Linked DNA regions of Astyanax mexicanus. The protein of the gene in region 1 interacts with the protein of each later gene in a biochemical or structural test. Links are inferred from orthologs where the notes say so. Each region holds a gene or a part of one and is shown in the gene's direction. Other genes may lie near its edges.

Region 1 (7,510 bases):
CTTGGAAAGCTAATTCACTGTACTATAAAAATAATTATATCTGATCAAATTATTTGTCTTTGTCTTTGCAACTCATTCTTTCTTAACAGCAAAATCCAGAAGTATTCTCCAACGGAGTCAGCGAAGGTGTATGACAAGGCAGTAAACAGGAAAAACAACGTGCATTTCAACCCACGGCAGACGCTAGAGTTCCTGGCCAACGGCCTTTCAAATGCCGAGCTCACAGACGACATCAAGAGGAAGATTGTCAAGCAATACTTGGACGTAAGTATATCCTAAAAGTTCCTCCCCACCCCTCTACCACACACCAAACTCTACCACACACCAGGTGTAGTTGAGAGATTTATGAATTCTCCGCTGTCACCATTTATCAAAATGTTAGTTTTGATGAATGTAAAGTTAGTACAGGTTTGTATTCAGATATACAGATTTTTTTAAATTTTATTTCCCCAACTGCCTTTTTTGATCTTAGCTTTTATTTTGCTGAACTCAACATGTCTCACCTCCCAAAGCCAGCTACACTGTAAAGGTACACATTTTGGATGAGACCAATGAATATATCTATGCAACGTTGTCCACATTTGAGCCAGTCATGTCAAACTAATCAGAAGTTTTCTACAGATGTTTAACTTTTGGATTGACTTCAGTAAATATTTGCCATGTTCTCCTCTGAATGATATTAAATATTAAATTGATCTGTTGATTCACGTGACTCATGTCATGTATTTTTTTTCTTTACAGTTTAAGGTACTGATGGAGCACTTGGACCCTGATGAGGAGGATGAGGAAGGCGAGGCGTCAGCCAGCACCCACGCCAGAAACAAAGCCATCACTGCTCTTCTGGGAGGCTCCAGCCCGAAGAACAACGCTGCTGACTCTTACGATGAAGAAAGCGACGGAGAAGAGAAAGCACCTGGAGTAAGTTGATACTGCTTTTATTATTCTTATGATAACTATTATGATTAAATCAGTGCCCCAGTGATTTTTTTTTTTTTTCATTTTTTTCAAGCCATACCTTTTATAATTAGTAACTGTTTAGAGGAGGACGGGAGATTTTTATTTCTTTCTTTTTTTTCTTGCCACTGTGGCCCTTTGGCTGTTGATGTTTTTCTTATTACCAGATTTGTGTTAATCTGCTTTGCATTGACGCAGGTTAGGAAATGTGCTCTACAAAAAAGTATTATTTGATTAATTTGATACTATAATTTTTTTTACTCTTATTTGCTTTAGAAATAAGTGCTTTTTCCGCTTTGAATAACTTTATCCAGTAAAATCTTTTATGTATGTTTTTATAATTATTTTTTTCCTTCATTTCCTTCTCCAGGCATCACGGCGATCCAGGAGAGGCGGCGACTCTGCAGACGCATCAGGTCATTTGAACGAGACGGTAGAAGCCATGGACGTCATCGCTATCTGCTGCCCCAAGTACAAGGACCGGCCGCAGATAGCGCGCGTCATCCAGAAGACGAGCAACGGTTACAGCGTGCACTGGATGGCCGGCTCCTACTCCGGCACTTGGGCAGAGGCCAAGAAACGAGACGGACGCAAACTGGTGCCTTGGGTGGACACTATCAAGGAGTCGGACATCATTTACAAGAAAATCGCCTTGACGAGTGCTCACAAGCTGACTAACAAAATGGTGCAGACTTTACGATCACTGTACGCAGCCAAGGAGGGGACTTCCAGCTAATTAATTAACTACAGTTACTCCTACATGAACTCTCAGCAGCCAAACTTTATTGGGATCCAACATTTTCTAAACCCAGACAGTAAGGCAAGAATACTACAGACTCACAGAAACCTTGAGATCCACTGTCACGAAGATGGAAACAGTATGAGAGAGGGAGGAGGGGCGGGGATAGCATTTTAACACGAGGACCTGCAGCAGAAGATACCGGACCCGTTAAAGTTAAGTTAAACAGGACAGAAACATTCAGAAGGAAATGTTTGGAAAACATTGTGTGGGAGCTCCTTCGCTGTTGTGCAGCAACTTGGTCGTGTGATTTTTACTCCCACTGTATCATAGTTTAACATAAAAAACAACAAACGAAAACAAAAATGTTTATATCTGACGAAAAAATCTGTTTAAAAAAATAAACTTAAAGTGAATGTTGGAAATTAGTCTGTTGATGTTCTTAATAAAGTGTTCTTGGAGTTAAACCTAGCACCGGATGGATTTCTTTAGCTTAGCTCAGTGTCCAGGGAAAAAAACTTTTAAATATTTCCTCTGCTTTATGTTTTACTCCTTTTTTTTTGTTTACTCATGCTGTACAATGGAGTCTCCTGGACATAATTTATTCTGTTAAAAGCAGAGCATGCAGTATCTGTGGCCTACATGCAGGGGGAGATTTTTTTGTAAATGTAGATTTTGATGTATTAGGTCACCCTAGAGAGAAAAAAGGGATCCCCAGCACTTCTGGCGGAACAAATACTGCAATAAATTTTTTTACTTCTCTTTGTTACTTGTCTTGTTTGCATTTGACTTTTATTATCATTATTATTTTTTTTAGCACTAGCAGTTGTAAGACGATCTGAGTCTCCCTTTTTCTGAAAAGTGAAGCTGCTTTATTAGTGTTTAGTGATTCAATTGTATTGTTTTTTTTCTAATGATAGGAGAGAAGTTTGCCGTAATCAAATCCCTATAACCCCACTTTTAATTTTACAGAAAAGTTCTCACTGTATACAGAGTAAAGTTCTCACTTTCTGATGAGCTACATAACGATCTTCTTGTGTCTACCACCACCAGGATGGACTGCTGGTCTTCACTTTCATATAATTACAGTTACTACTGAAGGGCTTAATGTGTACAGTGTTATTCTTCTTCCTGTCCTACATTGATGTATGGAGGAGTTAAGGAATATATTCATGAAACTTTCACTTTCTTAACAGGATGGAAGGTGACTGCTCACAAGGAGATCCAAAAATCACTCTCTTATTTACTGTGAACGTAGCAACGAGAAAAGATCCAATATCAGAGCTACAAATATGGTCATTTGCAGGTTGCAGGAAACAAGGATGTGGCAGTGTGCTCTAATGGTTTATAATTTGAATATCTCAGAATAAGACCCTGTGTAGGATGCTGCTCAGTTTATGGGAAAAACCTTTACTGTGTAAATTATTTAATTAAAATGATTCTGGTGATTTTTTTAATAGCTAAAATCAAAATGAATACTAAATGGCACTGGTGGGTGTTGTGGCACAATGGATAACACCACTGTCTGCAAGTGACCTATCAAACTATGTGGGATACTGGGTTCAACATCAGGTCTGAGTGACTGTGCTGCACTACAATAAGTAGTGGTTCTGCAGTTAGAGGGTTGTGTTGCCACTATCCCCATCTTCTCCACTGGTATTGTAGCATGGTTGACCCTGAGGTCTGACCCCAGCTTTTTTTGGGATATGTGGACACTGTGTAACACTGTACAGGTGTATAAGTATAATGACAAAAATAAAAGCAGTAGCTATTTACAGATATTTTGTAGGCCACATTTGTATTAAAGTTGTAATCCAAATATGAAAGTTACTGGAGAGTTTGAGCACTGGACAGCAGACCATGAATATTCACTGTAGGCTACAGAAACAAGTTCTGATGCAGTTCTCAGAGTGTGATATACTTTCAATAACTAAACACTGTGATCAAAGCTTCTGGTCACAGACCTGTTTAAGCAAATGTCATGGTTTGGACATGCAATGTAATCTTGGGCCTGACGAGAAGATGTGTTCATTTTGTGCCAGTGTTAATGAAATGTGAGTTAACTGAGGATAAAATATAAATGGAAAATGGGACTAAAAAAAATTGTGTGGAACTGATATATACACACTTTATTGCCAAAAGTATTCACTCACTTGTCTTGCATTTGGTGATGTGAGGCTTGGAGCTGCTTGTTCATGGAAACCTATTCCACAAAGCTCTCTACAGTCTACTGTTCTTGAACTAACCTGAAGGCCACATGAAGTTTGGGTTTCTGTAGTGATTAACTGCACAGGATAAGTTAATCAAAATAACCAGCCTCAGAAACCACAAGTTAACATCTCCCCAGATAAGAGCATCCATCCATCCATCCATATATGCAAAAAATAATAATAAAAAAAAACAAAATGAAAATAAATATATTGTATTTTAATATTTAAATATCTCATATAGTTTATAAATATTTGAGAGCCCCTTCATATAAATATGTATATGCTTGTGCATTTTTTGTTTTTAGAACCTATTTTTAATTTGTTTTGTAAATATATATTAAGCAAATAAAAATATGTTTTAAAAAAACATTTTTATTGCATATGCATATACATATTTAAATAAAAGGGCTATTTAAAAAATATTTGAGACATTAAAATATAAAAAAAAATTAAGATATAAATACACAATTCCTTTTTATTACATTTTGTGTCTGCATATCTCTAATTTTCATCATAAAAGAGCCCAAACTGAAGAAAAAGTTCGAGCTACTTTTATTATGAAGAGCGAATGTGTGGTAAATGTTTGAGCCGGAAATACAATTCCCAGTGATCAGGGCGCTGAGGAGCGCACGAGCTTGGCGGGAGAGTGTGAGTCTCGAGGAGGCGAGTGGATTTAAAAAGCGCGTTCTTTGTAAAAACCGTTACAGCGCGAGAGAGGCGGAGCGCGCGGGCTGATAAACCGTACGGTAACAGGAATAAACCCGGTTTTTATTTTGCGTAGCTAAGTGTATTTATGGCTGTTTAGCATTAAGCTAAGTACTATGCTAACCAGGCTAAGCTAACCGGCTATTGACTTCTGTAGCTAAATCAGCCTAACAAACAGTAACAGCTAACTTAGATGGAAAGAGGTCTGGCTAAAGCTAAGCTAGCCAACATAGTTAGCTTAACAAACTTACTAAAATGAGGATAGGAAATATGTAATAAAATCTCTCTTAATATATATCAAAATTAACCTATAAGCAGAGATACTGCAGAATAAATGCAAAATGTGTTCCTACGTGCTAGCTAGTTAACTACTGTCTTAGTAAGCTACGTTAACTTGTATACTGTCTAATGTGACTGATATTTATTTTACTCTAAACTAGCGAACCTAGTTAGCACACCTAATATCACTAGTTGTTAAGTTATAGCTAACGTATCCATGTTAACGAACTAGTTAGCTAGTGTAGTATTATTGTTGTTATTATTAGCTCAGATCCTCTTCTGAATATTAAGATAAGATTAGATGATACTTTATTACTGTGTGGAAATTCATTGTCACAGAAGCATAGCTAGACACTTAGTAAAAAAAAAAAGATAAAATATACAGTACAATATATATAATAATATTTATATATACAATACAATACACCATATTCAATATTTTGCAATATATGATTGATTGTATTTACAAATAATTGCACATTGCCTCTTAGTTGCCCAGGGGTTATGGAAAATATTTCACATTATGTTACACTGAACAAATTCTTGATATTAATACCAAATTTAAAACTTACTGATAAATTCAGTGAGCAGCCCATTCTTGTTTTTTCTCTTATTGTGTGCATATGCATGCAAATACTTTAGAGCTAAAATTCTGATGTTTCACAAAAAATATTTCATAACGTGTATTTTAGTCTCTTATGAGACCACGTTAAGCTAATAGGTGTGTTGGTGATCATGAAAAATGCTTTTTCGTAGGCTTATTTCAGAACTGCAGCTATGCCGTCGAGCCTGGGCCCCAGCAGCATGGCAGCGGCTCAGCAAGAAGCTCTAGAAAACTCTGGCAGGCTCATTGATCGACATCTGCAGGAAGACCGCTGCTTTCCAGACCTGTCAGAGCTGCTCAATGTCCCCTCACACAGTAAGAACACACTTGGCTGTCAGTGACACATGTATTATGTACACAGTATAACTGACTCTGACCACATTTTGTTTATATCTCTCTATCAGATATGCCCTCTCTGTCTGGGGTATCAGACATGGATTACCCACTACAAGGACCAGGACTCATCAGTGTGCCCAACCTGCCAGAGCTGAGTGCTGTGCGTAGAGTCCCTCTGCCTCCAGAGCTTGTGGAACAGTTTAGCCGTATCCTCTCAGTTAAAATCTGCATTTGAAATTAAGTATGGTGGACCTAATATGAGAGAACGTATTTAAATGTGTTCATAGCATGTTGCTATAATAATTCTAATATCTGATTGGTTGAGGGATGTTTAAGTAATTGTGAAATAATTATATCTAGCAGTGTTGACATACCTTAATCCTGAAACTTCAGACATGCAGTGCAATTGCATGATGGGAGTTTTCCCTGAGATCAGCAGAGCATGGCTGACTATTGATAATGACCTATTCATGTGGAATTATGAGGATGGGTGAGTATTGCAATTGGAGTAAAAATGTATCATGTTTATAGACCTGCTTAGTGCCAGCTTTAATTTCTGATTTATTTTCTTGTTTTGTTTAGAGGAGATGTGGCATATTTTGATGGGTTGAGTGAAACTATCCTTTCAGTTGGACTAGTAAAGCCAAAGGAAGGTGAGTGGATGACACACAAGTGATCAAAGAAGGCTTTAAATAATGAAACTATTAATAAAAGACAAATTATGTTAAGATGTCTGACTGTTTTCTCACTACTTTCTTGACTAGCATTGTTGTGCAGAAATGATTTCATATATCAAATTTTAAGGGAACGTGATAACATGTCATCCCAAATTATTTAATTTTATTTAATACAATTTTAAATTAAATAGGAACAGCTATTTCTGTGTTTAATTTTTTTGTAGATTGTCTAAATATTTCTCATTTATATACTGATACCCATTTTTTCCTCACACAGGAATTTTCCAGCCTCACATTCACTTCTTGTTAGTGTTGGCCACACCAGTGGATGTTGTGATCCTGGGTTTGAGCTTTCCTAAAGCTCACACAGGTGAGTCTTTCTTGTACTTTTCTAATAATTAATATGTCCTACTACCAATCACACCAAGTCACATAAACCCTAAACCTATGAGAGCAGTCAAGCTAAAAGCACCTGGTTTTAAAAGGACAAATGTTCTGAATGTCTCTTTCTCAGGGTTAAATGATAGTATGTCTGGAGCCATGCAGCTCCTGCCCGACCCGCTCTACTCCATCCCCACGGATAACACCTACATGCTGGCGATCACCTCCACCGATCTCGGACGCATCTTTCTGGCTGGGAAGGATGGCTGCCTGTATGAGATTGCTTACCAGGCTGAAGCTGGCTGGTTCAGCCAGCGCTGCAGGAAAATCAACCACTCCAAGAGCAGCCTGTCTTTCCTTATACCATCTCTGCTGCAGTTCTCCTTTTCTGAAGATGGTAAGAACATTGCTGCACATAGACATGAACTTTGTAAAGGTGTTTGTAATGCCTGTTTATAATTTTTCTTTGTTTTGTCTTTGTCACAGATCCGGTTGTTCAGATTGCTATTGACAATTCCCGCAACACTCTGTACACAAGGTCTGAGAAGGGTGTGCTGCAGGTCAGTGTGTTCATTTTCTTTTCTTTTAAATGTATATTATTAAGTTGCTTCTGGTCATTGTGTTT
Region 2 (7,176 bases), on another chromosome or scaffold:
GCAGCAGTTAGTCCTGACCTGAGCCTCTTCCCCTTCCAGCACCAGGGTCCCAGCTTTACTCCACCTCTTACAAACTACGAGGCTCCTGACGGCAAATACAGTGACATTACACGAGTGTACACTCAGTGATCAGCTGACATCACGAATTCAGAAACGTGTTACAGAACTGTTCCTCCAGTTCCCTGTTCTCACAGGGCATCTCCTGCTCTGAAATGGTTGGATCTGTGTTCAAAGACGATTTTGACGTGAACTTTAGTACTGAAAGTACTGAACTCATCTACTTCCCTTCTGTAGAGAAGAGACTATGTGAACTTGGATTCTTATGTGAATGAAATACAGTCTGTGCTCAGTCAAAATAAAAAATTTACCGGCACTATCATTACAGTCTTGTTTATTGGGGTTTCTTCTTTATAGTCAGTTGAAAATACCAGCCCTTCTGTACGTGTGTGAAGTGTTTAGACAAATATCAATAACAATGATCCAGAATAACCTTTAGCTAATAAAATGTGTTGTATTTAAGTACATTTTGCATTCTCCTCTAACTACTGGCTGGTTATATGTGGTGTTCTTAGACACGTGCCTACAGTCTGTCTACCACAGATATGGTTAAACTGTTGTATTTGTGATGAAAGTACTACTGCACCACTAGCACTGAAACACAACCCAACACTGAACTGAAATATTCTGTGCATATTTTTGTAAATAAAACTTACACACATTTAAACAGACATTGATGAGTGTTTATTTAATCAACTGCAACACATTCAGTCAGTGAGCACACACTTCTGATCATAGAGAACACAGCACTTCAAGTCTTTACACAGTAAACTTACTTTTATACATAAAAGAGTCTGTAATTAATATACATAGCCTATAATTCTAGACATTATTTTCCCTTTAATGGAAAATCTCCATTCAAAATGCTGTGTGTCCAAGATTATATAACTGATAGATTTATTTACATGCACTTCATAATCTGATTACTGCAGATCTTACCGAGATATATAGATACCTTATTGATCCTGAAGGAAATTTAGATCTTTAGAGTTTGTCAGTGATCAGATCAACACAATTACATGAACTTGGCTATTCAGATGATGGGAATCGGGCATGAATCAGATTTTTGCTTTGTTAAATATGTGAATAGGTATCAGAATCAGAACAAAACTGGGGCAAAACTGGACACAGTCTATCAGTGAGGGAAAAGCATTGGTCTGGAAATCTTAGGTTTTAGACACACAGCAGGTAAATGAAGCCCAAATACAACCTTTTACGTCATATGTGACACAGGTGTGCTGTTTGTGTGGCAGTGTAATTAATGCAACGTTTACGTCACAAACAGGGAAAGAAGGGAGTGAGTAGATGGGAAAATGGAAAAAGCAGTGAGATGAGCCCTTCAGTAGTGGAAGAACGAAGTAAAAACATCTGAAATATTTAGACTGATGACTCTGTTCCCATAAAAATTAGAAGGCTTGTGCTAACAGGCTGGCCGAATGTGGCTACAGATTGCAGCTGTAACATCAGAAAAACTGACAAAACCGAAATAACCGAATAACAGGGCATTTTTACAGAAAACAGGATAAAATTCTCTGTGATAAGCTCAGATGCAGCCTAATCCCCTTCAAAACTCTTGAGATTAATGTGAAAATAAATTTGAAGCAATGCTTTTTTTGTACATGTGCATCAGCAACACATCACAAACCATTCAGACAGAAGTCTGATATGAGTTGCATTAAAATCACAGTGTGAACAGACAAAAAAACAGATTTGTTTTGTTTTTTGTTGTAAATGATTCTGGTGAACACGTGATGGATGAGGACGATGTGTGTATATCGGCAATTTAAAGCTATAAAAGTTCTCGGTTCTTCTCGATGTTTTGACGTTTTTTTTTTATTTGTGACAGAAACAGAGAGACAGTACAGTTAATTTGTGCTCTTAAGACTCCTCTGGGTTGTCCTGATTTAGAGGCGTGTGCCAGTCAGATGGTGGTTTATCTCTCATCTTCCAAACTGGAGTGAAGTTCCTCTGCTCAGACACTCGACTACTCTCACTTTTCTGGAGACACTCCTGAACAAACAGAAGAGGAGAGGATAAGCTGCACAGAAACAGCACTGAAGAAATACACAGTATATGCACTAAAGTGTGCACAGATATGGTCTCATGCACACCTTGCACTGCAGGAATCATGAGACTGACCTTGGCGTGTGCGCTCTGTGTCTTCTCCCACTCCCTGCACGCCTCATAGTCCTCTTTCCACTGCTGGCACATCGGTGTTGTTCCATAGGTGTAGTAGTGATGGAACCGGTGCCGTAAACTCTTACAGTGCCTGAATTCACTCCAGTAGGTATCACACAATCGTGGTGGCTGAGATCAGGCACAAGAAACATTAAAATAGTTATAAAGAGCATGATTTAATTTAAATTTACTGCTGAAGTAAATGCATGATTAAAATAGCAATACTGCACTTAATGCATGATCAGAACAGCACTGCTAAGGTACATTTTATGATTACAATAGCACTCCTAAAGTAAATTCATGATTAGAATAACACTAATGATGTACATGCATTGTGCTGTGTTGGTTTGTATGATGGGATATAAAAATGTTTAAGTGCTAAATAAATATTTTAAATAAAAAAAAGGTATTTATAAAGAAAAGCAGTGCTCATGCAGAAGCCATGCAAAAAATTGTTATTTTTACAACAAACAAAGGAAGTTAAAAAAGGAAAAAAGTTATCTGGATTTCTGCATAGATTACTTATAAAATATGACATCTGATAAATCTGACATATGATGATCTAACATAACATTATTACCACCTACTTTTTTCTATACCCATTGTCTATTTTTTCAGGTTCAATGAGCATATATTAGCACTTAGCACTGCCAGTTCTATCATTACACAGCTTTCCTGTATCGGTTTCTCTGCATACTTCATTATCCTCCTTTAACTCTGTTCAATGATAAAGACCCCACAGGACCACCACAGGGCAAGTATTATTTGTGTGGTGGATCATGAAGTGATGCTGACATGGTGATGGTGGGTTTGGGTGTGTTGTTCTGGTACACTGGAGTAGTCGCCCAACAAAGATCACTCTGAGAGCAGGGCATGTAACAGTCGGCCAGGTCACAAAAATGGACCTCAGGGTATCTTCTAAGCAACTGAAGGCCTCTCTCACAATGGCTAATGTTAATGTTTATCAGTTTTCCATCAGGAGAACACTGAACAACAATGGTGTGCATGGCAGGTTTCTTAAAAGAAATTCACTGCTCTCCAAAAAGAACATTGTTAAGATCACATAGACAAAACAAGAAAAATCTATTGTAAGAATTGATGATAGCATTGATGGAACAGGGAGCACTGAATTACATCAGAAAATTCTAGGGGGAAATGTCAGGACTGTCTACAAACTCAGTCTCAAGAAAAGGTGGGTCATGTAACAAGACAACGACCCTAAGCAACACAAGTTGTTCTAACAAAGAACGACTAAAAAATATTAAAGTATTTAATTTGCCTCAATAAATAAATGACCTAATGAAGGTTAGGAAATGTTATAATAATTTTAAGCAGGACTGGTATGTTTAATCACTTCAAAGGGATTTATTTCAGCTATTAATGGAAAATAAACATGGTTTATGGATTAGTACCTCTTTAAATAAGCAGGTTAAATGATAAAATCTGCTTCAGCACTGGAAGATTACTGATCTGCCTAGTCTCTAAATCAGCTTCAGAGCTAACGATAAGGAAACACACGTCGAAACAAGATATAAACACATCACAAACAACATCACAGACATATTTATACAACCTGTTCTCTATATTAACACTAAAAGTAAAACAGGCACATATTTACCCTCCACGATTCTCTTGACCCTGCCATACTCCACACTCCCTGCACTCCGGCTGCAGCACAGCGCTCCCTGCTGTCCTCCACTAACCAACTACTTCCCGCGCCTTTCACCATTATCACTATTATCACCACTACTCTTTTAATAACCGAGCACAATAAAAGTGTTTAATTTAGCTAATAACTCACTATAGCTATCAAAAGGATCTCACTGATTAATAGACAGCGAATTACAACATATTTATATATATCAGGTTTGTCACGTAGTTAGTAGTAGTCGTGGGACTTTTAATTTATCGCTCACAGGAAGCGGAAATTAGCGTGTTGTGTTTCTAAAAGTCCCACAGTCCAAATCTGCCGCTTGGTAGAATATTAGCTAAACTAAACTAGGCTAAGCTAAGCTTTATGTTTAAAGTTTTACCGAAATGGCAGCAGATAGTTTAAGGTGGGACACGCTGGAGGCTTTAAAAAACTCTTCGAAGGGTAAACTCAAATACAGCCCAGACTGGCTGGAGAAAGGGGAGGTAAGAGCCGCTAAATTAATCTAATCTTACTGATTAATCTGTATTAATCTGAGTTTTCGATAGCTGGGATAGTTAGATTAGTCTGTTGGCCGAAAATTCTGCTAATTTATCTCACAGACTTTAATCTGGAGTGAAGAATAACCACAGCTATAATAGTAACATCCCGCCATCAACAATATAAAATCAAAAAGTGAATTGCTATCTCATTGCTTTGAGATACTAAGTCATTTTTGTGAGATGCTGTTTCATTATTTTGAAATAGTAATTATCATTATTTGGAGGGACTATTATTATTTTGAGATACTAAATAATTTTTTTACTAATACTTTTTTTTCTATGTTGATTCTCAGATATAAAGTCATTATTTTGAGATACTAAGTCTAATTTTGGGATATTATCTCATTTTAAAAATACTAAGTCGTTACTTGGAGAGATCTTTGAGATCTCATTGTTTAGAGAAGTCTTTATTCTGAGATACATATTCCACACCATATTCTCAGTTGATTCTAAGATTTAAAGTCATTATTGTAAAATATTAAGTTGTTATTTGGAGGGACTGTCTCATTATTTTGAGATAGTAAGGCATTATGTGTAGATTATATCTCATTAGTTTGATGCTACCCCATTATTTAAAGATATCAGGTTGTTATTTTGAGATACTAAGTCTTTATTTTTGGATACTATCTTATGATCTATTGTTATTTTGAGATGCTATCTCATTATTTTGAGATACTAAGTCATTGTTTGGGGATGATAGTTTGCAAAGGCTTCACTGGAGAAAAGTAAAAACAGATGTAGTTTCATTCCAAAAACCAAAAAACTAGTGGTCATATCCTAAAATAGGTAAATTCGCTGCTTGTTACGTCCATTTCCTTGATCATTTATGTATGTTTCTCTTCATCTCTCATCTTCAGGATATTCTCGCAGGCTGTAAAGAGGTTACCAGCCTCTCGCCTCTATCAGGTGCTATTCTGAAGAGACTGAGCCCTCGACCTCTGCTCAAAAACTGTTCACTGGGTTCTCCCATCCGTGATACGAGTCTTTCCACCTCTGAAGATGTTCCTTTGTGCAGTTCAGCTCCCATCAGTCCACACCACACCCTCACCTCTCCGTTATCACCTGCCACCTCGCCTCCGCTGGCCTCTATTGAAAGTGAAGAGAAGGTATAATGTTTATTTTTATTTTTTTGATGACATGACACTATAATACATAGCGGAACAGTGTACTTTATTTGCATTATTATTTTTTGCATTATTCCGTACTTTCTCAGCTTTTTTCTGTAATGGAATTGTACTTCATTCTTGTGCTTTTTTATCTTATGCTGTTGTTTTATTGTGCTCTAGGTAAATGAGGATAAACTGGAAAATTCACACTCCACAGTGGACCTCAGCCCTGTTCCCTGCAGCACTCCACCACCAGCAATCTCCCTCCTTTCTCCCAGAGCCTCTCAGATGGCAGGGTGTATTCGTATCTGTGAGGAAAAACATCGATCTAAAGCCAAGGTAAAGTGTACATTCAAAATTACATATAGTATAAAAATACATATAGTGTACAAAAACACAAAAAATACAAAATAAAAAGTCTATACACATTACATTATACTAGACATAAATGTACAATGTATGAGGCTCGAGTTTTCCTGGACCCTAAATATTAATGCTTAATTAATCTAGTCAATAACTTATATGAACATATATGTGCGTACGTTTGACCTGCAGAAGAGAAGATACTGAATAAAAAGCTCAAAACTAAGTGTAAGCTGCTACCTGACAGAAATTTCTCCTTGCCAAAGAAATTTGTCCTACATAACATGTCATCAATATTATAGTGATTAACAACAATTGTAGAATATTGTTGTTCTGTGATATATATTGCGTTATTAAAAAAGACCAGAAGTCAGTGATCCAACTTATCATAATATTAATAATGCAATATATGCATCAATGATTGATTGTACAATTAATACAATTAATGGTATTAGGTATTTGATATAATAATAAAATCTTGTAGCTTTTGTCATGTAAAATTTTTCTTTGTATTAAGCAGCAAAAATGTTAAAAAAATTATACTGACTTGTGCTGGAAAGAAGAACAAAAACATATATAATTACTAATGCACTACACTAAAGAATACTGTCATTAACACCTTATTTATGTCATATTTCATAATATATTCACAAAATTGACATGTACTGTGGTTGCATGTCTGTTCCATAATAACGATGAACTGTGGTGAACTGATTGTGGCTGACAGGCGGAGTTGAGTCTGAGGCAGGAGCTGCAGGAGAGGCTGGTAGCTACTGTGGCCAGCCGTGAGTCTGAGCAGCTGAAACGCTTTGAGGAGTTTATGGAGCTCAAACAGAGGCAGGAGTATCAGAGCGTGAGGGACATGGTGGAAAAAGAGTGAGTACTAGAAGCACAGTGTGTGATGCTGTGATGAACTGAGGTTTAGTCATGTTTTCTGTACTCATCTAAGTGTTTAGCCTTAAAATGTTGATGCAAAAAATATTTTGCTTTTATCCCACAACTAATAAATATGTTGTGTTATCTGTCTTCTAAAAGCACGCAGGAAACCCTCGGCCGACAAGAGAAACTGAAGGAGGAGCACAGACATAGAATGAAGGTAGGAATCAAAAAACACACACCTGTAACAAACACACAAACTTTAGTGCGGACTCTGATTCAGACTTATGTGAAATCGCCCCAAGATTGCAGCTTTAAGATTCTTGCATCTTGATGCATGAATTAATTTTTGCACCCCTAATATTAACCTGTATTTGCTCGATCAGATCCTGAACCTGCGTCT

The links.
Region 2: the proteins of nup155 (region 1) and gle1 form a complex in vitro, tested with the Homo sapiens proteins (2 studies listed by BioGRID). The link is inferred for Astyanax mexicanus from reciprocal best matches to the Homo sapiens genes NUP155 and GLE1.

What each region holds. Positions count from the first base shown.
Region 1 is NC_064427.1:4,555,613-4,563,122, reverse strand, and holds the start of nup155 (nuclear pore complex protein Nup155), read left to right. Parts: upstream 1-4,505; 5' UTR 4,506-4,566; exon of another isoform or gene 4,567-4,649; intron 4,650-5,643; 5' UTR 5,644-5,664; coding exon 5,665-5,806; intron 5,807-5,895; coding exon 5,896-6,033; intron 6,034-6,220; coding exon 6,221-6,317; intron 6,318-6,409; coding exon 6,410-6,480; intron 6,481-6,781; coding exon 6,782-6,874; intron 6,875-7,018; coding exon 7,019-7,282; intron 7,283-7,371; coding exon 7,372-7,445; intron 7,446-7,510. Other genes in the region: nipblb (nipped-B-like protein B), read left to right, coding at 90-264, 742-918, 1,325-1,690.
Region 2 is NC_064419.1:290,439-297,614, forward strand, and holds the start of gle1 (mRNA export factor GLE1), read left to right. Parts: upstream 1-4,159; 5' UTR 4,160-4,272; coding exon 4,273-4,371; intron 4,372-5,285; coding exon 5,286-5,534; intron 5,535-5,714; coding exon 5,715-5,873; intron 5,874-6,624; coding exon 6,625-6,773; intron 6,774-6,932; coding exon 6,933-6,993; intron 6,994-7,159; coding exon 7,160-7,176. Other genes in the region: mrpl40 (39S ribosomal protein L40, mitochondrial), read left to right, coding at 1-129; c12h22orf39 (UPF0545 protein C22orf39 homolog), read right to left, coding at 1,936-2,067, 2,197-2,364, 3,854-3,964. UniProt on the Homo sapiens protein: Required for the export of mRNAs containing poly(A) tails from the nucleus into the cytoplasm. May be involved in the terminal step of the mRNA transport through the nuclear pore complex (NPC).